Linked DNA regions of Drosophila melanogaster. The protein of the gene in region 3 purifies or fractionates together with the protein of the main gene of each other region. This does not show direct contact. Each region holds a gene or a part of one and is shown on either strand. Other genes may lie near its edges.

What was found.
Region 1: the proteins of Tmep (region 3) and CG7668 purify together in Drosophila melanogaster (affinity purification with mass spectrometry, with the first as the bait; one large-scale study listed by BioGRID). This does not show direct contact.
Region 2: the proteins of Tmep (region 3) and CG12012 purify together in Drosophila melanogaster (affinity purification with mass spectrometry, with the first as the bait; one large-scale study listed by BioGRID). This does not show direct contact.
Region 4: the proteins of Tmep (region 3) and Scamp purify together in Drosophila melanogaster (affinity purification with mass spectrometry, with the first as the bait; one large-scale study listed by BioGRID). This does not show direct contact.

What each region holds. Positions count from the first base shown.
Region 1 is NT_037436.4:20,001,148-20,005,383, forward strand, and holds CG7668 (uncharacterized protein), read left to right. Parts: upstream 1-1,588; 5' UTR 1,589-1,770; coding exon 1,771-1,845; intron 1,846-2,155; coding exon 2,156-3,216; intron 3,217-3,269; coding exon 3,270-3,402; 3' UTR 3,403-3,687; downstream 3,688-4,236. Other genes in the region: Tom20 (translocase of outer membrane 20), read left to right, coding at 20-149, 214-289, 703-1,012.
Region 2 is NT_037436.4:3,375,197-3,378,541, reverse strand, and holds CG12012 (uncharacterized protein), read right to left. Parts: upstream 1,786-3,345; 5' UTR 1,662-1,785; coding exon 1,595-1,661; exon of another isoform or gene 1,544-1,594; coding exon 1,242-1,543; 3' UTR 550-1,241; downstream 1-549. Other genes in the region: Ids (iduronate 2-sulfatase), read right to left, coding at 54-257; CG12010 (uncharacterized protein), read right to left, coding at 1,955-2,451, 2,508-3,308.
Region 3 is NT_037436.4:1,567,484-1,575,181, forward strand, and holds the start of Tmep (transmembrane endosomal protein), read left to right. Parts: upstream 1-1,697; 5' UTR 1,698-2,058; intron 2,059-4,417; exon of another isoform or gene 4,418-4,502; 5' UTR 4,503-4,503; coding exon 4,504-4,755; intron 4,756-4,808; coding exon 4,809-4,974; intron 4,975-5,040; coding exon 5,041-5,299; intron 5,300-5,485; coding exon 5,486-5,825; intron 5,826-6,062; coding exon 6,063-6,137; intron 6,138-6,196; coding exon 6,197-6,281; intron 6,282-6,510; coding exon of another isoform or gene 6,511-6,545; exon of another isoform or gene 6,546-7,249; intron 7,250-7,504; coding exon 7,505-7,698. Other genes in the region: CG12003 (uncharacterized protein), read left to right, coding at 1-44.
Region 4 is NC_004354.4:15,445,645-15,451,746, reverse strand, and holds Scamp (scamp), read left to right. Parts: upstream 1-1,863; 5' UTR 1,864-1,979; coding exon 1,980-2,042; intron 2,043-2,238; coding exon 2,239-2,466; coding exon of another isoform or gene 2,467-2,514; exon of another isoform or gene 2,515-2,888; intron 2,889-3,166; coding exon 3,167-3,368; intron 3,369-3,722; coding exon 3,723-3,852; intron 3,853-3,916; coding exon 3,917-4,325; 3' UTR 4,326-5,568; downstream 5,569-6,102. Other genes in the region: Ahcy (adenosylhomocysteinase), read right to left, coding at 1-352, 890-1,080, 1,332-1,356.

The DNA.
Region 1 (4,236 bases), about 18 Mb from region 3:
AGAGGATTTCCGTAGTAATATGATTGAAATGAACAAAACTGCAATCGGCATTGCAGCGGGAGTAGCTGGAACTCTGTTTATTGGATACTGCATCTACTTCGACAAGAAGCGCCGCAGCGATCCCGAGTACAAGAAGAAAGTCCGTGAGCGTAAGAATCCCCATTGCGCCCCAACTGAATTATGAAAGAAACTCATCATTTCATCACTTCCTAGGTCGCCGTCGCAACAAGAAAACCGGCACTGCCAAGTCTGGAGTTCCCAATCTGAACGACCATGAAGCCATCGAAAGGTAGGACACTCCCATGGGAGTCGCATTATATAATGTGGCACGTGTAGTGGTGCCTGGCGATTCAATACACCTCCATTCAAACAAACAAGCCCACATATGTTTCTCCAGCCAAATCGATGTACATATTTTATGTGGAGTCCCATTACACTTGCGTGTTCATCGTGTTGCTGCTTATTGCCTCAGGCATCTAAAGACTCCACTGCCTTGGATTAACAAGCACATTTCAGTGTTTGGATTCTCAGCAGGCTTCCTGCCAAGAAATTCATAATTTGAATATACAAATAGTTATTATTGTTGCAACTGTGCACAATTTATATTATTTATATGCACCTAATTTGCCTGGCATTAATTTAATTCGTAATAGTGTGCATCGAATCAGCTGTTCCAAACTAATTAAACCATGATATTTGCAGATATTTCCTTCAAGAAATCCAGCTGGGCGAGACCCTGATCGCCCGCGGAGATTTCGAGAGTGGCGTGGAGCACTTGGCGAATGCCATCGTCGTGTGTGGCCAGCCGGCTCGTCTGCTGCAGGTGCTGCAATCCTCCCTTCCAGCTCAAGTATTCGCGATGCTGATCGTCAAGATGCAGGAGTTCGGCAATCGAGCGGCCGAGGGCAACGACGGGCCAATCGTTTTGGGGCAGAGCTCGGAGCAACAACTGGACGGAGCCAAAATTATAGAGTGTTCATCTGGAAACGCAAGTATCGACGACCTCGAATAGTACTTGGAGATGGCTACAGAAATTGAGATATAAATTTCAACAGTAGAAATTAAGGGCTTCACATATAAACATTATATTTTTTTTATATATTGATTTCTCTGGATGTTCCCAATACATACAAATAAATATGCGTAAACTGTTAACACTTAACAATTGAGCTTTGTTTTGTGCGTGGTATTTACGTTAGGCGAATATCAAAGATCAACTCTGCAGACCTAAATGTTTTGCAATATGTATGTATAACAGGGTATGTGTTAAAGTGTGTGAAAGTTTATCAACAATAAAAGATTATTAACATGTTGAATATCTTGGGAATAAATACATATATCTCCTAACCGGTTTGATAATAAAGGTATTCCAAAGTTTCTTTGGTATTTAAATATAAGTGATTATTTATAGGAAAAGCGTACTACTGCCATCTAGGCAGCTTAATCAAATGAGAAATGGTTCTTATACACTTATTTAAAGCAATAGTTTGAAAATGCAAAAGTTCCTTTTCAAAGATGATACCCAGTAATTAAATTTACGGAATACCCCCTATGCCATGTTCTAGCCGGACTGCGTAACTCCCTCAGTCCATATCTGGTAACACTTAGAGCTAAACAGCTACGTGCAATTCATCGGATTTTTTTGTATTTTGAGTTGTTACAAATATAGGCACTTGCTTTACATCTTTAAATTTATTGCACGGATTATTGCAAATTCCGTTTGGAGTGCTTTTAGGTACGATAAAACGTGGTGCTGATAAATTAATCCCCATGAAGCCGGAGGACCAGAACAACTTTTCTCAGAATTCGCGATCCTCTCCAGATTCCAGCACTGAGAACAATTCGGTGAGCAATAAGATTTTTCTCGATTCTCGTTACTTACATAGATAGAGAAGAACGTGTGAGAAATTTGAAAATTCTTTTGGTGTATTGATATAAATTCACAAGTAAAATAAAAATCAAAGACACTAAAATAATAATGTCTAATGTCTTTATTATTCTAATGTCTTTGATAAAAACTTTTCGCTTTATATGTACTTCCCCAAATTCCGATTCTAGTGTCTTTGAATAGACTCAGTCAGATCCGATAGTGATCGTAATCATGAATTCATGCACATAGTTCTCAGCGAATATTGTATACTCTTTCGTTTTTCAGAGCAGCAGTGATTCGGAAATGGAATTTGTGGGCACAAGTGCACGGGGAATGCTGAAACATAAGAAAAAAGATGAGAGGAAAATATCGGAACTCACCCGAAAGTTGGCGGAGGCTGAAATAAATCTGAAGGCCCAACAGGAGAAGGGCAGTATACTTGAAAACTGCATCAAGGATAAGGATGATTTTATTAAGACCCTGCAATTGTCGATTGACTTAGTAACGCAAACAAAAGAAATGACCATACAGAAGTTACAAACTCAAATTATGGACTTGCAAAGTGATCTCGACTTGAGTAGGATTACAATTAAGAAGAACGATGGAGGAAATTGTGCTCCAGCGCATGATAAAGTTGTGAAAGAACGAAAGGAGTTAAATATGGAAAATGGAAAATTTCGAGAGGGGAATGATCAGATTGTTGAAATCGAGAAAATTTTGAACTCAAAAGAGGCGGAAATCGCCAGACTAGAATTCAAAATTGACGAGTCGAAGCTAAAAATTGTGCAATTGGAAGGTGCAGTAAAGGCGAAGGACGAAAAGATAGTGAAAATGACAGAGATATTGTCTGAGTATAACGTTAATAATAAGGACCACGATGAATTCGTATTACTGGGCTCTTCCAAGTTGCCTTCAATTAAATTGGTGACACTACCTGATTTCGAACCCTTTGCCTCAGTTTTCGAGGATATTCCTTCTGCCGGTCGTGGTTGGATGATAATCCAGCGTAGAATCGATGGCAGTTTCGATAACGCCACTGAATCAAATATAATAACGGGCTGTGGGGATTTGGGTGGCGAGTTCTGGCTTGGCCTACAAAAATTGCATAAAATGACGACACATCGACGAATGGAACTATATATCCAGCTCGTCGATTTCGACAATGCTAGTGCTTATGCAAGATATGATAATTTTGTTATTGGCGATGAAAAACAGAAATACAAACTGCTTTCCCTTGGCGAATACTCAGGAAATGCTGGCGACGCATTTCGCAGTCATATAAACCATATTATTGTTGGAAATCCGTTTGCAATGGAATCATCGAAATGGTGGGGTACAATGAACTGGTATGTATGAACTTGTTTTTGTTTAATGATTTTGAAAAATAATTCTTTTTCAGTAACTTGAACGGAAAATATCGGAATTCCAAAGTTGAGTTGGACACGACCGATGGCATTTGGTGGGGTAATTGGAATGTTGGTAATAGATATCCCCTGAAGTCGTGCAAAATGCTAATCAGACCAATGCCGTGAGCCAAGTATAATGGCTTGTCAAATAACATTGTCACGGAAATAAAAGTTGTAAAATAATTTCTACCTGTTCATTTTCAGCCTAATTATTGTAGAATGTTAAGTTTTAGTGTCGACCAAAGAGTGGATAACAGGCTTGAAGGTCCTATAAATGCTGTATGCTGTATTTGCAAGTAAAATCTAGCTTCGCTTGGTATTTTTTTTATCGTAATAATACCGACTTTGTTATTTTACGGTCGAGGGAAATTTACATGAAAATCCCACCAGATGGCGCGTTTGATAAAATCGATTTTATCGCAGGAATGCCGTATTAAATTGCCCAAGTTTCTATAAAATATAAATATATTTTGATAAATAGTAATAATAATACATAATAGAAAAAAAAAAAATAAAACATAAAAATCTGCAGAAGGCAACAAATTGCATCTAACAGTGAAGTGGAGCATTTTCCTAGCCTCACAAAATATTTAGCAATAACAAATACATTTGTCTAAAACATGTAACAAGTCAGACATATGCATGTTCTCCGCAATAAAGCTGGGATATTTTTACCAGAGAGGGTCAAAGGACTCAATAACAGAAGGGGAAATAGGGGTGCTCCATGCTCAAGCTGGTCCGGATGAGCTCGAAGTTGCTGTTGGAGGTTGCAGCTGGAGGTTGCAAGCGCAGGACATGGCCCAACTCGTTAGGACCTCGAAACGAAAAGTCGAATCAGTTGAATTTCTGTTCTCATTGACTGCGGTTTAAGTTGCTTTAAATCGCAGTAAACGGTGTGCGTCGTCGGTAGCAATTGAATGAGAAGGGAAAGTATGTTTCAATCGAAAGTCGCGTTGTTCC
Region 2 (3,345 bases), 1.8 Mb from region 3:
CAATATATATGTGTTTTATTAGGTCCGCACATCAATGATCACAGGCTGCCCACCTGGCTGTAAACTCTTGTAAAGATGTGACTTCCTCTAGCAAAGTTATCCAAATACGGCGTGCTGGCCAGCGTATCGCCATAAGCTCCAATAACTGGACGCAGATCATCAAAGATCACCATCACCACATTCGGCCGTCGTGGCGGAGCAGCTGCGTCCAGCAGCACTGGCATCATCAGCGAGAGCAGGAGACGAGCAGTGATCATGTCTACGGCGAAGGAAGCTCACAACTGTTGACTCGAAGATGCCGACACGGCGGATGTGGATGCCGGCGAATTTGTTGTGCTACCCTGTGCCCATGAAATCTGATAAGGGGGTATATCAGCGGCTCATACATTTGGTTTTATAAAAATTTTGAAAATCAAGTAATCTATATATATTCAAAAATTCAAATATCTAAAATATGGCGTTTTGAAGGGTTTTTCTTTTAATCTCCTGATGCATTTGAAGGGTATATTTATGTCATTCCCAAATTCATTTAAAACACTTCACTTGTTTACTGTTTTGCGCGGTAAAGTCCAAAGAGCATGGAGAAGAGAAATCGGACGGGCGGCGCAATTCAAAACCGCCCTCCATTATATTTCAATTGAATTTAACGGAAGCGCGCCTCGTCGACGCTTACAGTGCACATTTTACAAGTACAGTAAAAGTTCTATAATCACGAAATGCAACAGTGGGTCAAATTATTCACAAATCAAGAACTAATGAAGTTTTGTACAACCTAGTTCATATCTAAAACCGTCCAAGTCATTATATCTGCGTACCATTACTCTAAGATATAATAAACATGTTGTAAACCTTTTATTTAAATATATAAATATTTTTTCTTTTGTTTGCAGTTTAAAACTTATGTTACTTAAAATCCTTGTAAAAAGCCAAATCACTATTCAATTGGAAAACATGTTCAACTGATTTTTTTTAGCATTTTTTTCATAACTGGGCTTACTGATTTGAATTCGAGTTTAGCATATTTCACTGTACATGACCATTCTCCGGACAGGGACTGGAATGGAATCGGGGGCATTCCGCAGGCTGGCATGAATAATATTTACACATAGTATATAATGATTTGCGAGCTAACGATTAACAATAACAAAAATATTGGTGCTTTGTGATAGTCACCCACCGCGAAAGCCTAATAGGGATCAACTTTTAGCGTTTCTTTATGGATAATTTCTGGGTAATCCCCTCTAGAAAACCGTTCCGCAGTTGGAACAGCGCTTCTCACGCATGGCCAAGCAACAGAGAATTCCCAGCGGGAAGAAGAAGATTGCGCAGCACAGTCCGCAGGCGGAGAAGGTGTCCTCCAGGTATCCAATCCGACATGCAGGGCATCCTCCAATCACGATGATCTCGGTGGGCATAGCGACCGGAGCAGGCTGAATCACCACGCTGACCGGCGTCGTCTCGAAAGCTCCGTAGGTTGGCATGTGCATGTTTGGTGGCGGAGCACTAGGTGCTCCCTGATGCACGCCCACTATCAGCCGGGAATCTAAAAAAGATGTGCATTGAATTGGATGCCTTTAGTGAGCCTATTACTTACCCTGCGAGGGACTGTTCATGACTTCTTCGTAGCTCGGCGGCGCGGCGTCTTTACGGGTATCTGCCATTGTGGCCGGAAAGCTTTTTTTTGTGACTCACTGCTTCTTGTTATGAAAATAGTCTAGGCTTTTTTACTACGTTTAATTGCGTTAACTTTTTCTCTGCGTTTTCTTTGTTTTGCCGCAATCAGTTATCGTTGCAACAGCTGACTGCGACTATTCTATCGATTGGTAATCGTGGTCGCGGGAGTACATATCGTAAATCAGTAGTTTGAATTTGAGCAAAGAATTCTACGATTTAACATCTTAAAATACATTTATTTATGCAAAACTAACAAATGCAACTGCACATACATCTTGTTCTATAAGAACCTATAAGCAAACTTATAGTAGCCATCTATTTGGCTTTGAGTGAGCGAGGATTTCTGCTTGGTCAGAACTTTTTCAAAGTCTTGTAGCTCAATTTCCGTGGCCTTAAAGTCACGTTGAAAAGCCTCGATAGCCGCCTCATTGCAGAGATTACACAGATCCGCTCCAGAATACCGGTCTGTTCGGGCAGCAATCTCCTGGAGAAACACATTTTCATGGAAAGGCATGCGCTGGGAGTGGAGTTTTAGCAGAGCCAGGCGGGATTTCTCATCTGGGGCTGGTACATGGATAAGCTTGTCAAAGCGTCCTGGTCGCAGTAGGGCATCATCGATCATATCCGGTCGATTGGTGGCTGCAACGACAAGTATATGTTGCTGACTACCACCCCCCACAATGCCATTCATTTCGGTCAACAGCGTGGAGAGAATCCTCAGCTGAACTTGTCCACCACCTCCGCCACTTGAGACCGTCCTTCTGCCAACAAGCGAATCTATAAAATTAAGTGGATTAATCATTTTTATGGCAAATTAAGCTTATCCGACTCACCTATCTCATCTAGAAATATAAGACAGGGTGCATTTTTTCGCGCTGTGTCAAAGATTCGCGATATAAATCTTTCCGCGCAACCGACGTAGGGAGAGTACACCTCCGCCGCCGACGTAGCAATGAAGGTCATGTCAGCTTCCTTGGCCAGGCACTTGGCTACGGTGGTCTTGGCACATCCTGGAGGTCCATAGAGCAGCACTCCTTTGGGCAAACTTAGTCCGAATCGAGCAAAAGCGGCACTTTGTCTTATACCCGCTAGAACGGAGACTTGCAAGGTACGTTTCAGTGCTTCCATGCCTCCGATAACCTCAAACCCAGCCGTCATCTTCGAGACCCGCACATCTGTGGATCGAGATGCACTCGGTTGAGTTTGTGACAGGGATTTGAGGAAAATGTGCTCTATGTCGAAGTCGTCTTTTGTTAAGAGTTGCTGTTGAACGCGGCGCAGGAGTAGTGTTAAATCCGCTATCACATATCCCTGAGTGTTTCTCGCTATATGCTCGAGTAAAGTCTGTGAGATATTCAGCTCGTGTACTTCGCAGAGATGCTCTACGAGTTGTCTGCGCTGCCCTTCGCTGGGCATATTAATGGTCACCTCTCGGACGAACCGCCTGCGCGCATGTTCATGCAAGGAGTCCGGGACACCAGAAGTTGCCAGACATATGATGCCTCGAGGAAGTGCGTCTAGCAGTTTGTAGAGCTCAGCTGAAATTCGTAGGCTATTGCTAGAGTTTTTTGCATCTGCGACAGCCGTTGAGGGGCAGAGCAGCTCCAGATCCTCAATGAGGATTACAATTGGCACTATAAATATAAAACTAATTAATATTTCAAACGTAAA
Region 3 (7,698 bases):
CAAATCGTCCCAACACGCTGCGATCGCGTGGTCTAAAGTATTGAAAACTTAAACTAAGTGTACACTCTTAAAAACAGTCGAAATTATAGTTCTTAGAGGGAGATTACCATCAAAATTGCCAATCGAAGCCAGCATTGTGGCTGCATTTATCCATATATCATTTATAATTATAGAAATATATTTTAAAAATTGTTTGATAGCCTTAAAGTTATGTACCAATATGAAATAGTGGTATGTTTTCCGATCAAACAGCTATTAAGACTATTTAATGGTAAGCGCTATAAAACCCAATTGATATGTTGCCTTGGCAATGCTAAACAAATCCGTTGTTTTATTTTCTGCATTTTATTAGCATGCTTGTTAATAAGAGATCTTTCAGTTCCTGAGTGATCCTAGCTAAGCAAGACTTTGTATCGGACTACCTATGTTTCGGTTTAAAGCCAATTCAGGTATGTTCGCTAATACAGGTATTTACTACGACCAAGAGCAATATATATATTTCTACCCCCGAATGTGTGACAGGCGGTACACAATTTATTCGCGGAAATGTATTTACATAATGCCTTTCATCTTGAAATCGAATCTGGAACGGGGCTGCTAGTAGAACCGAGACTGTACCCTAAGCATAAAATATGAATTGCACACCGAAACGAAACAGAGCGCAAAGAGGAATCTGCGAGTCGTTAAGCACCAATCAATACTGATCAACATACTTTTGGGTAATGGTTTTAACCGATTTTCACTGTTTCCAGCAGTTTCTTGGTTTTTCTTCTCGCTCCCGTGCAGTGTTGTTGTTGCTGCTTCGAAGTCGTTGATGTTGAAGCATCTCCACGGGAAGAAGCAGAAGCGAAACGAACGAAGAGGAGAAGCGGAGGGGGCGAGGTGTCGCTGTTTTAAGTACGAGTACTGAATTTATTCAATGAACTTTACTCACCATGAAAACCATTCAAAACTCCACTTATTCTGGACCACCAATGCACAAAAACAGTTGGGTTTGTTTTGGCTCAATTGCTATATATTTATTTTGATTATTCCTGCTGATGATCGGCCTGAAAAATTTATATTTTCCTGGCAACACAAAAAGTGAAATGCTGTTTTGTAATTCCTACGCTTGCGAGGGTTTGGTGACAGAAAACAACATGGCTGACACGAAAAGTGTGACCTGTAGTCGTGCAGCAGAAAAAAATCACTCCGAAGACCACGGGCACCCTGTGAGCAAAATATGAAGGGGTTTCTGAAATGCGATTTGGTTAATTGTTAAAAACAATTCTAATTCGTTAGTCACTATATGACGTTTATTTAAAACAATAAAGTAACCAAACAATTACATTTATTAACCTTTTAAATTTTAATATAATCTATGGTATATGTTGATCTTGCAAGATTGTGCTGGAGTATTGAACAATTGAACATTAACGAGTCTTAAATGTGCAAGTGCTACAAAATATTTTTCCCTGTTAATTTAATTGTTACTGCTAACTTAAGTTTGTTACCATATTAGTTGGAATTGCTTATGTTATTTTATCCGAAGTCAAGCGGAGCGCAAGTGATAAGATGCGCCTGTGCGCGTGATGCACAGTGTGAACACTTGTGGTATTTAATTAGCAAACGAAAAGAAAATAACTACGCAGCACTCCCACGCAAATACTGTAAAACATATGTTTCGGTATTTTTTATGTATTGGCACGCAGATTTTAGCGCTTAGTGTAGTTAGGTCACACACCAACACGATTCGTGCGTAGTTTTCATTTATTTTGCTCCGCTTTCCTTCGCTGTTTTCACACCCACGATCCGCGAAAAAAACATCCAGGAATCGTGTTCAAACATTGGCAAACATATTGCGTACCGCCGCGGCCATAAGTCAACCGCTGTAGGCCATTCTTTTAGCCCCAAACAAGAGCGACGACGTCAGTGGGCGACGCGACTGGCGTCAGGTGAAAAAAAGAAAGAAAAACGTATTGAGATTTGAAAATCTATATAAAACGGGTGCAGCGAAATTAAACGGAATTTGCAACTGTGAAAACGCTCTAAAGCGTGGAGAGTTGCATTTGAAAAAAGGTAATTAGCGTACCAATTAAAAAAGGAATTGTTCAGTTTGTGCGTGCAGGTTTTCTGCATGTGTGTGTGTTTGTGTAAAAGTTGTTTTCCCTGAAATGGCAGGTTGTGGATTACCCGATTCGATGACGAAATTATTGAGCTCGTTTTCTGTGTTTTCGTTGTTGTCAATGTACTTTTGCATTGATAAGCAAGGTGTTAGTGTACTTGTGTGTGTTTGTGTGTGCGTGAGTGGAAGAGCAATGAAGATAAGCTCGAGTCTTCTTCTTTCCCCACTCTCCAAAAGGTCGTTTCGCATATGGTTTATTGACGCTGCATATGTTTTTGTTTTTGCCTGAAATTCAATTTACCCACTGAAGCCCCACAGCAAGGCTTCCGACCTCCAACACACCCTGCTCCATAATTACCAACTTACCGCGCCTCCTTTTCCCTCACAATCATCGCAATATGGCTTTTACTCGTCTCTTGCCACCTTTGGAGACTCTTCTTCGCTTGGAGACTTTTGCTTGGCCAATTTCTGTGTATCTCCGCCAGCAGCAACTTGTTGTTGCTTCTTCTTTGTGCAGCTGATTGTGTTTCGCTTAGCCTTCTCTCACTCTTCTTCTGCCTCTTCTTTTGGCCATTTACTTCTGGCTTTCGGTGTCGCCGAGATTCGTAAGCAAATTTCAAGCGTTTAACATTTAACGCTTTGCGTTTTGCTCACAAATTCGAGTTCAACAATGCGAGTATTATTAACTTTTGCACGAGTTCGTGACTCATTCGTTATCATTAACGTGATTTTTATTCCCCTAATGGGAAACTCTTGTCAGCACAACTGGAATACTCACAATATACCATAAGTATTCAAAACATCCAAAGAGTTTTTATATTTGAATACCATTTCTGGAGATAAAATGACTCTATAATCACAAAATATCCCATTTGTTAAAACTAAATCATAAAAAAAGGTGTTTATTACACCTTTTTTTTGTTAAGTTTATTAAGTTTTTAGTGTTTCCCAACCCTTTAGTGGTGAGTCAGTGTTTCGAGCTATCTTGTACTTGATGTTATTAAAAATGATTGGTAAAGGCACTCCTCAAAAAAAGAGTTTTTTTTTTAAATGGTGTTGAATAAATAATATCGGAATTTACCATGGGCGATACCCTTTTTTCCCACTGTTCAGCAAGGAACTTTGACATTTCATTTTACTTCCTGTTCGTCATTTCCGATATTTTCAATTCTATTTCACTTCGATTTGTAGGTTTTGCCTTTTTGGAATATTAGAGTAAGTGGATTCCACGCAAGATTTTAACATTATTCTGTATTTCCCCCCTGTTTCCTCGAATGCTTATCGCATTTCTTGGCCCCCATAATCCTCTTGAACTGCCATATGTTTCCGTTCCACCAGAACTTTCAGTTTATTTGTATCCATTGCACTTTCGGTTATTTTTGTACGCACAATAGCATCGCTGCTCAAAAAGCTCCCCATTCGAGATTATTTAAAAAAAAAAACTTCACTCAAATGGACTCAAGATCTATCAAATATGTAATTCATTCTGCTTGCTTTGCACTCGCCTATTGATTGGTTGGCATTCCCAGGCGGGTGAAATCGATATGGAGCAGTTTGAAGTGACCCTGAGACAAGGTGGAAGGTGGGTGTGGAGGTGGCCATAACTTTCCTTGGCTGCGCCAGAGTCCATTATTAATATTGGATTGCGTGATGATCTAATGCGCGCGCCTCTGTCCCTCTGCTCCCAAAATCCCAACCCAATCCCGTTCACCACCCGCCGCCCGCCGCCAACTCTTTTGTTTGTTTTTGTTTTTGTTCCTGCTGCCGCTCCACATTCCCCACTTTGCTTCTTGCTGACCCAAATCCGTCCAAACATTGTTGCAGTGCTGTCACAAATTTTGGGGCAACATGGAAAAGATTCATAGAACACATATGAACTTATCAAGATAAGAACATTTTCATAATAAACCTTAAAAATCCATATTCCAGGGCAATAAAAACACACAGATATTAATGCACATACATAATGGATGTTTATTTAAAATCATAATTATTCAATGACTATTATTCAACATCTTGCACATGACTGGATTCACAATTTCTGACCAAGCGTGTTGTTTAAACCTTTATATAAGTGCGAATAATTCGAAAGCATATGAAAATACAAAGAAATAATTCACTAATGAATTTAGATTATGAGTTAGGAGCTTGAATAAATCAGGTGTAACTATAATATAGCTAAGAGCGCAGCACAGCAGTGCTGAAATGGGGTTTCGTGTCTCTGAGTAAGAATGTCATTTTCGGAGCAATGTTCGTGTGAAAGTCGAGACGAGAACGTAAACATTTTGCCTGCCTAGCTGTCTGTGCTGAGCACTTCAACTGGCCGCACAATAGCTCCTGAACCTAGCCCAGTTACACCCACGCTAATCGGTCTTCCTCGTTCTGGATTCCATTGCAGCATGAGCACAACCGCCGCCAGTCTCATCGAGGCGGCTCTAAATGCCAGTAGTGGAAACGCCACGGCTACAACTGCGGGATCGCTTGAGGCTACAGGGAAGCCCAACTACGTGGTGCAGGTAAAGAACACTCCGATGAGCACGCCGCTGGACCCGCTGCTCCACGTGGGCGATGGCATCTTCCTGCAGACAAAGACCGCCCAGGTTCTAGCTGGGGTGTGCGTCTGGGCCGCCCTCTTCATCACATGTCAACAGGTGAGTTAAGGCGTCATTGGTCTGAGTTGTGTACTAATGGATATCTTTGGCAGATCTACCAGCACCTGCGCTGGTACACGAATCCACAGGAGCAGCGCTGGATCGTGCGCATTTTGTTCATTGTGCCCATCTATGCCACATACTCCTGGATCAGTCTGCTTTTCTTCAACTCGGATAACGTTTACATCTACTTCTTTACGGTGCGCGACTGCTACGAAGGTTCGGCTGATTTGATTTTGAATGATTTTTGCCCATCGACTAATTGCTAACCCCATTTCCATCCAGCCTTTGTCATCTACAACTTCTTGTCGCTGTGCTATGAGTACCTGGGTGGCGAGGGCAATATTATGTCGGAGATTCGCGGCAAGCCCATCAAGACATCGTGCCTGTATGGCACCTGCTGTCTGAAGGGCAAGACCTACACGATTGGCTTCCTGCGCTTCTGCAAGCAGGCCACTCTGCAGTTCTGCCTGGTCAAGCCGCTGGTGGCCTTCATTATCATCTTTCTGCAGGCATTTGGCCACTACCACGATGGCGATTGGAGGTAATGTGGTTTATCTTTAATGACCCGCGTTATTGCATCTGAAATGGTGGCATAAAAACAACGAGCGTGCGCAATAAATTACCAACTGTAAACCAGTAAATCTGCCATTAAGTAACACTTTGCAAAAGAGAGAACTTATAGGTACATATCATTCCCACTAATAATATCTCCTTATCTAAATTGCAGTGCTGATGGCGGTTACATTTACATCACGATTATCTACAACATCTCCGTGTCGCTGGCGTTGTATGGCCTCTATCTGTTCTACTTCGCCACGCGTGATCTGCTGACTCCGTTCGAGCCCGTGCTAAAGTTCTGTACCATTAAGTCCGTCATCTTCTTGTCCTTCTGGCAGGGCGTGGGTCTGGCCATCCTGGAGAAGGCCAATGTTATCTCGCCCATTGTAGACAGTGCAGGCACTGTTACCGTGGAACCCGGTACCGTCTCCGCCGGATACCAGAACTTCTTCATCTGCATCGAAATGCTGTTCGCCGCCATCGCGCTGCGCTATGCATTCCCCTATCAGGTGAGTTTTGGAATGTCGGAGTGGGCTAGATTTTACGCAGCTATTTACGATTTTTGGTGATTAGATAGTGCTGACTTGAGTGCTTTTTTTCGGTTATTTCGGTGTTTATTAAGCGGCTTTCCTTACACTTGTTAGATATGTGAAAGGTATTCGTGTAATGCTGACTTGGCTAGAAGAAATCAGCTAAAACGAAGTGCTTGCAGTAAAAATAACTTAAATGTTGTATGCTCTTTGTAGGTCTACGCACGCAGCTGCATCAGCGATGGCCACGGACGGTCTGTCACCATGCAGTCCATTTCCAGCAGTCTTAAGGTAAGCTGGAATATTTCCCTGGGAATTCCCGTATCTAAAACTCCCGCAATCCTTCGCAGGAAACAATGAATCCCAAGGATATTATGACAGATGCTATACACAACTTCCATCCGCAGTACCAGCAGTACACGCAGTACAGCTCAGGTTGGTTTTTACTCGCTTTCTCGTCTTTTTAGCCCAACTTCTTCTCTTTGTGCTCTGTGTCTGTGGCATGTTCGTTCTTTTCATCGAGCCTGCTTAACTTATCTTATCTCTTGTGTTCGTCGCTCTCATTTAATGCATTTCGATGCGAATTTCCATTACCATTTCCATTCCATTATCGTTATGTTTTTCACACTTTTGTTTTTCTTTCTTGTTTTCTTATCTTTTGCAGAAGTAACCTCGGCTCAGCGTTACGAAAAGCTCTAAATCAATATCAAAAGCAAAACTCTAGCGATGCTCGCTACTAAACACTAATTGCAATCACAATTCCACATTTCCGAGCGGGACGCGATCCGAAAGCGAAGCAAACAAGTGTACTTATAGCCCTAGCGCCTTAGCCCTAGCTTAATGCCCCACAGTATCCCCCGAAACCAAGCTCAGAGAGGAAGATACGTACTAGGCCTAGTTACTTACTTACTCACTCCACAAAACGCTGAAAGCTGAACAGAAATTAACTTAGCCAGTCCATTGAGTTCAGGGCTTTTAGAGTTGCCTCTGCGTCTGTGTTTCTGTATTTCCTACGTTTACACTCTACACCTAAACTTAAGCGTTTTTTAAAACAACTTATTTAGACGTTAGCTATGTACGAAACGAACTATAATATTGTACAATATTATGTATTTGTAAACAAAGATTTTATTATACTGTATGCAACAATGGCAGTCGCTGAACAGGATTCCCCATTCAAGCGATCTTCAAGCTAGTTTCCCCTCAGCATTTATTTACGTGTTTCCGTTTCGCTCAAAGATACCAAAAACGAAGTTTTTCCTTCTTTTATTTTGATTTCCCCTTTTGACCACCCTTTTGTGATAAGCTCTCGTCGTCCTTCTATTTACTTCTGTTTGTAAATGTTTAAACCAATTGTATAAAATATCTAAAATACTTAGCAATAAATGTACGATAAGCTTGACAACTGTTTGCCTCGCCTCGTTTTCTTCGTTGCATGTTTATTGGCCTCTTTCCAACTATATATATCATATATCCGTGCCTCGATTAAGATTTTTATCGTAGAATTAACTAATAACTAAAATCTTCAGTAACATACTTAATCGAGGAATGGTTGTGACAAGCATGGCATGATCTAATGTTTCTTGTTAATAAGTTAGACCCTCGATCTGTGTGACCCGTAACGATTAAGTCCATTCCCTCCAATGAAACCCGCACAGGTGGCAAGAATTCCCGCGGCATTCGCGTCTCCAGCTACGATCCCGACGATCCCAGCTCGGGAGCAGCAGCTGGAGGCATGCAGGCGTCGCAGCCCACCAGCGGTGGATACGATGCGGTGGCCACTGGACCAGGATCTGGCGGCAACGGCGGCAGCAACTGCATGGCCTCAAAGACGCTGGGCAACCAGAGGAAG
Region 4 (6,102 bases), on a different chromosome or scaffold from region 3:
CAAACTTGCTCTTGGTCACCGAATCGTTGACATTGATGGCCGGTACGCCAAGACGACCCTCCTTGAACATCTTGTACAGGTTGTGGACACCGGTGGTCGTCTCCTCGCTGAGGCCCTTGATGTTTTTCAGATACTGGGGGAACTTTTCGTGCACCAGGTTGGTCAGATCGCCGCCATCGTCCAGGATCATGTTCAGGGGCTGGCCGTCGGGGAAGACCAAGGTCTGCTCGATGCACCACATGTACTCCTCATCGGTCTCACCCTTCCAGGCGTACACGGGCACGCCGGTGGCAGCGATGGCCGCGGCAGCATTATCCTGGGTGCTGAAGATGTTGCAGCTGGACCATTGGACCTGGATAAAAGAATGAAAATGTAGTTCATGCGTTGAAGTTGAGATGTGGATGGGAAGGAACCTAAATTATATAGATATTTGCAAACTGATTTGCATTGCATATAGGATTGATCTATATCAGGAAATCTATGTATTTCAGGACATCAGCATTTGGCAGAAAATAGTTGCCATGTGCGAGGATTGAAGCAGATGGTGCTGCGTCAGAGGAAATAACAATCTGGAGGTCTTATCTTGGGCGCCTTGAACTTGCCCCCCTGCTGTTAAACGAAAGTTTTGTTATTCAAATTGGTGCGTAAACCAAAGGTGATAAGGGACCAGCCCTTGGACAATGCTTGGAGATACCTATCTTTCTACCTAATTTACAATTTCCTTACGGAATTTTGGTCGGTTTTATGGTTTTTGAAATGGTTTTTAGTATTGAAATGATGCTATCTTTGTGTATTATCCCGACTGTTCAGACCTACAGTTGGGCATACAATTCGAATGGTGGTACGATGCATAAAATCATTTAGAGCGCCAAAGAGGCACTGAACCCACCTGAGCGCCCAGTTCGACGAGGGTCTCGATGAGCACGGCGGTCTGGACGGTCATGTGCAGGCAGCCGGTGATGCGGGCGCCCTTGAGGGGCTTAGATGGGCCGTACTTCTTCCTGCAGGCCATCAGACCGGGCATCTCGTTCTCCGCAATAATGATCGCCTTGCGTCCCCATTCCGCCAGACTGATATCGGCTGTCGAGTGGGATATAAAAGGGAGATAGGGTCAGATAAGCAGGCACTGTTGATTTATACACCATACGGTCTGAATTTCTACGTTTTTTGCCCCAGCAACAACGTGCTCTCCTCTGTTTTGTCTCTCTTTTAACCTCAGAAACATGTGCTCATGAATAGATGCAATTCACCCGCACATGTCGCCTGTTGCCGGCCGGAGATTCGATTCGAGAGTTTGCCATCCGTTTGGGTTTATTTATAACGCAACTCACCGACTTTGTAGCTGGGCTTCGACATTCTTGCAAGGATTGGATGTTTGACTTGGATGCGGAGCAGACAGAATCGCACACAACCGAATTGGAGACGCGGGCAGCGGTAAATGAATCGAATCGCAACCCAAGACACTAGAATTCCAATTGCGGAATGGCGGCCCCAGGGATGGGAACTGGTTCCACGCAGCTGGTTCAGCTGGAGCAGTTCCGATTGGCACGATTGTTGCCATTTAAATTTAAAATTCATATGATAACTGCTGGTTTACATCCAATTGTATATAGAATCTTTTCTTTTTGCTATCATTTTAATAAAATGTATTAATAGGTCCTAAAAAATCAGACCATTGTATACCAGTTATTCACATTTTTCAGAATTCTAGATTAATGTTAAATGTGTTAAATAATAAGTTTTTCTGCCAAAATGAATTTAATATGTAATTCAAATAACATTAATTCTTTAAAGTAATTCTTTCGATATTTGAGGCCTACACTTTGATTCCCAACGAAAGCTTATCGATGCTGAACCATCACTAAAACCGACATCGATAACTGAGCAGAGTCTTAGGGAAAATATACACAGCGAAAAGCAAAGTGCGAGTCAGTGCGTTTTTCTGGTCATTGAACAGCCGTATCCAAAGTAGAATTCCCATGTCCGGCTCCGGTCTCGACGAGAATCCCTTCGGGGAGCCCAATCTGGACAATCCGTTTGCGGTGAGGCGATAGAAGAGCTAGGAGAGAGAGCGCGGAAGCCGAAGAAAAAACCCATCGCACACACACGCACACGTACGCAAAGGTGGGGTGTTGGTGTGCGTGCCTGTGAGTGTAGTGTGTGTGTGTGTTGGGTGCATTCGTCACATATGTTGAATGAATTGGTTTCTGATTGGGATTTCCCGGTTTTCCCCCGCAGGACCCCGCCATCCAGCAGGCACGACGACTCCAGAGCGGCGCCGCCCTTGTCTCTCTTGAGGATTACAATCCATTCGAGGAGCAGGCCAAGCCGCAGCTGCAGATCAACTCAACGAACACGGCGGCGGTGGTCCAGCCGCTATCGCAGAACATTCCGCCCCCGCAGACCAGTTCCCTGGGCGCCTCGGCGCCTAGCACCAGCATACAGATCACCTCGGAGGAGCTGCAGGTAACCCACTTGGCCGGTCGTCTCGCGTTACCGCCCACACAACAGTGAGCACTCTGCGGTGTGCTGTGCCGGCATGGCCACATCCGCAATACTCCAAAAACCGCATATGTACATCCAAATACTCGGAAACAATCGAAATGGACCACACCACACAGTTACACTAAAAGTTTGCCCTAAAAGTCTGTACAGTAATCACTTTGCTAGAGTGCCGGGATTAGGGCAGGCATATCACATTTTACTCTCCATCAAGAGTCAGAAAGATAAGCGGGCTTATCTCGATCTGCCAACGATATATCCGCTTTGGAGCATTTATCTGGTTGAGACTAGAAGCGGCTGCCGCGCCGAGTCTTCACTGTGCAAACTGCGGTTTCTCTTGATTTACTTGGCTTCTTCGGCCCTACACAATAATTCAAGAAATACTAGTTAGTAGATCTAAATACATATGATTTGGAGGCTTAAGTTTGCACTTTATTCTTGTACAGAATATTTCCTATAGATAGGCCAAATGCCTGAGGTTAAGATAGAAGTTTAACAAACTCAAGATTTGGATGTGAATTCCTATCATTGAATTTCGCCTTTGTTTTCCCAAATATGTAAATGAATAAGATTTAAAGTATTTACCATATACGGCCAATTTATTAAGTCATACAAAATGTATATATAAAACAGTCGATAATCATATGATTTTCATTGTATCCAGCGCCGGCAGGAGGAGTTGGACCGCAAGGCCGCCGAACTGGACCGCCGCGAGCAGCAGCTACAGGGCAATGTGCCGCAGCTGAACAACTGGCCACCGCTGCCGGATAACTTTTGTGTAAAGCCGTGCTTCTACCAGGACTTCGAGGTGGAGATACCGCCCGAGTTCCAGAAACTGGTCAAGCGATTGTATTACATTTGGATTTGTGAGTATTGGTTCTTTATGGCTGTGTTTTCTACATGTTTTCGCTGATAAGCGGTGCCATAGGTTGTGGAATTAGTCATCGCGTGTCGTCTACAGGCCGATGCCATTATTAATCAGATATAGCTGAATGGCTAATGGTCTTGGATGTGTGCGTGCCTTTGTGCAGAATATGCTTGCAAAGAGGGGAGCATGAAATTTGTTTGATTTACATGTTATCAGTATTAAGATAGTTTTTAAATGCATTTCTAGCATTATTTACTGCATGCATAGTATATAGTATATAATAATGCTTTCCCCTACAGATTATAGCATTATGCTGATTGTATGTGTCTATTTTGAATACTTTCTCCGACAGTTTACACCATGACGTTGTTGGCCAACGTGATAGGCGGTCTAATTTTGCTGTTCCACGCTGGCGAATTCGAGACCTTCTTCCTGGCCATCTTCTACACGATGCTCTTCTCGCCCGCCTCCTATGTCTGCTGGTGAGTTTATACCTGGAAGATTCTTAAAACATGAATAATGTGATGATGTGTGATTAATTTTCAGGTTCCGACCGGCGTACAAGGCATTCCGCAACGATTCGAGCTTCAACTTCATGGTCTTCTTCTTCATCTACTTCTTTCAAACGCTGTACTCGATTGTGCAGGCGGTGGGCTTCAACAAGATGGGCTACTGTGGCTTTATTACGGCCATCGGGCAGTTCGATGGGCAAGCGTCGGGTATTATCGTCGGCATTCTGCTGTTGAACGTGGCATTCTGTTTCACAGCGGTGGCCGTGGCCAATGTGCTGATGATCACAAAGATTCACTCGATCTACCGCAGCACAGGGGCCAGTATGGCCAAGGCCCAGGCGGAGTTCACCACCGAGTTTCTGCGCAACCAGCACGTCCAGGAAGCAGCCTCCTCGGCCGTTAATACGGCCATCAATTCGCAGTTTAACAACAGCAGGTACTAAGTGACACTCTGCTTTCCGGGGATCTAATCAAATCAAAAGGAGAATCAATCAATCAACCACGAACTCAAGCAGCACTCATCCTGCTTAACTGGGACAGAAAAAGATGATGATAGCCGCGCCAGAGAGAGGGAGATGGAGAAAGAACACTTAATAAACATTGAAATAGCTTAACACGAAATGAAAGTAAAGAAAAACATGAAACTAAAGCTAGCATTGGAGCATGGAACTAATAACTATTTGCTTTTGTGCATAAACAATTCCTAGAATGCCGTCGTCTTTATTACAAATAATTACTGTAATGATAACACAGAAACAACACACAATGCATAAACAATATTTATAAACGGAACAAAACCGAACTTGGAACTAAACTGAAAGTGAAAAAAAAACCAAACAAAAAGGAGAAAACAAAAAAACAAAAGGAAAACTAAAGCGGCCCACGATGCCTTCGACACGCAGCTGCAGCGGATCAAGTAGACAGGACATCTTAATCGCACGATATATGCCTCCAAATACAAGTATCTAGACTAAATTATTGTGTGTCTGTCTCTGTCCTGTGGAATAATTCGATTCTGATACTAACCCAGATTAATCAGGCGAAAGGGATGACACTGATGACGATGATGCTGCTGCTGCTGCTGCTGATGATGATGTTTTCTAGTTCTTTAAGTCATTAAAACGATATAGGAATAACCCCACTCCCTCGCACACGCAACACACACACACACACACACTCACATATATACGATCTTATATATATAACAAACATAATATAAATAATATATTTAACGCTTACATTATAGAACTTTATCTCTCGTCGCCTCGACCAGAGAGACAACAAGAAAGCGAAATTCATTTTTCATCCAAGCTGTGCTCCTACGCCCACTGCTCCACTGTCCCCCTCTCCTCCCTCCCCCCTGTTCCATGTCCCGACCCCCTTTTTCCGCCGTCACTGTCCTGCACTCACATAAAATGTCGTGTTTTTTTGTAATCGTAATTGTTATATATTATCTATTATCTATGTACATGAAGACAGCATATAAAATATATTGATTCACTTAAGTATTCACATTTTTTAGATACATTTTGTTCGTTTCTGTTTTGCTTGCAAGTCAAACTTATTATGTTACGACCTATTTAAAACTGAATTGAGAATAGCTAATGACGATCTATGGATGTGTATTTAAAATTCAAGCAAAATTTATGATAAATTCCAAAATAAATATAAAATACTTATAGATGTACAATAAGCATTGATTTTGAATTTATGGGTTGTTTGGTACTCATTTCTAGAGAATTCAAATGCATAATTTGGTGCGTAATTAAAGGGGTATAAAGACTTTTGAGATATTCATATTATTTATCTGCAAATCCCAGCCTTGAAACGCAATAATCAGGCTTAAATTCTTGGTTTATTACTGCTGGTTATCTGCATGGAGGTATTTACACAATTTATATAATAGATAGAACTGCCATCAATGCTTGTGTTTATATTAGTCAGTTTGCTTATAGATTTTAATCTTGAGTTTGTTTTGTATAAATAAATTCCAATAAAATTGAAAACCCCACAAAATGACTGGCAAATAGTTCGGATTACCGCCATAATCGACTCTTAATTAAGAGGAAATGTACAATGTCATTTAAAAGTGCACGAAGACCTTTGATTTCGAGAACTCATTCGATGGAAAATCAATTAGCAAGAAGAAAAGTTTACGTAAGCCAGTCGGTAATTAAGACGATTGAACATGGTCGAAAGTGAATGTTCCTGGAAATGCAT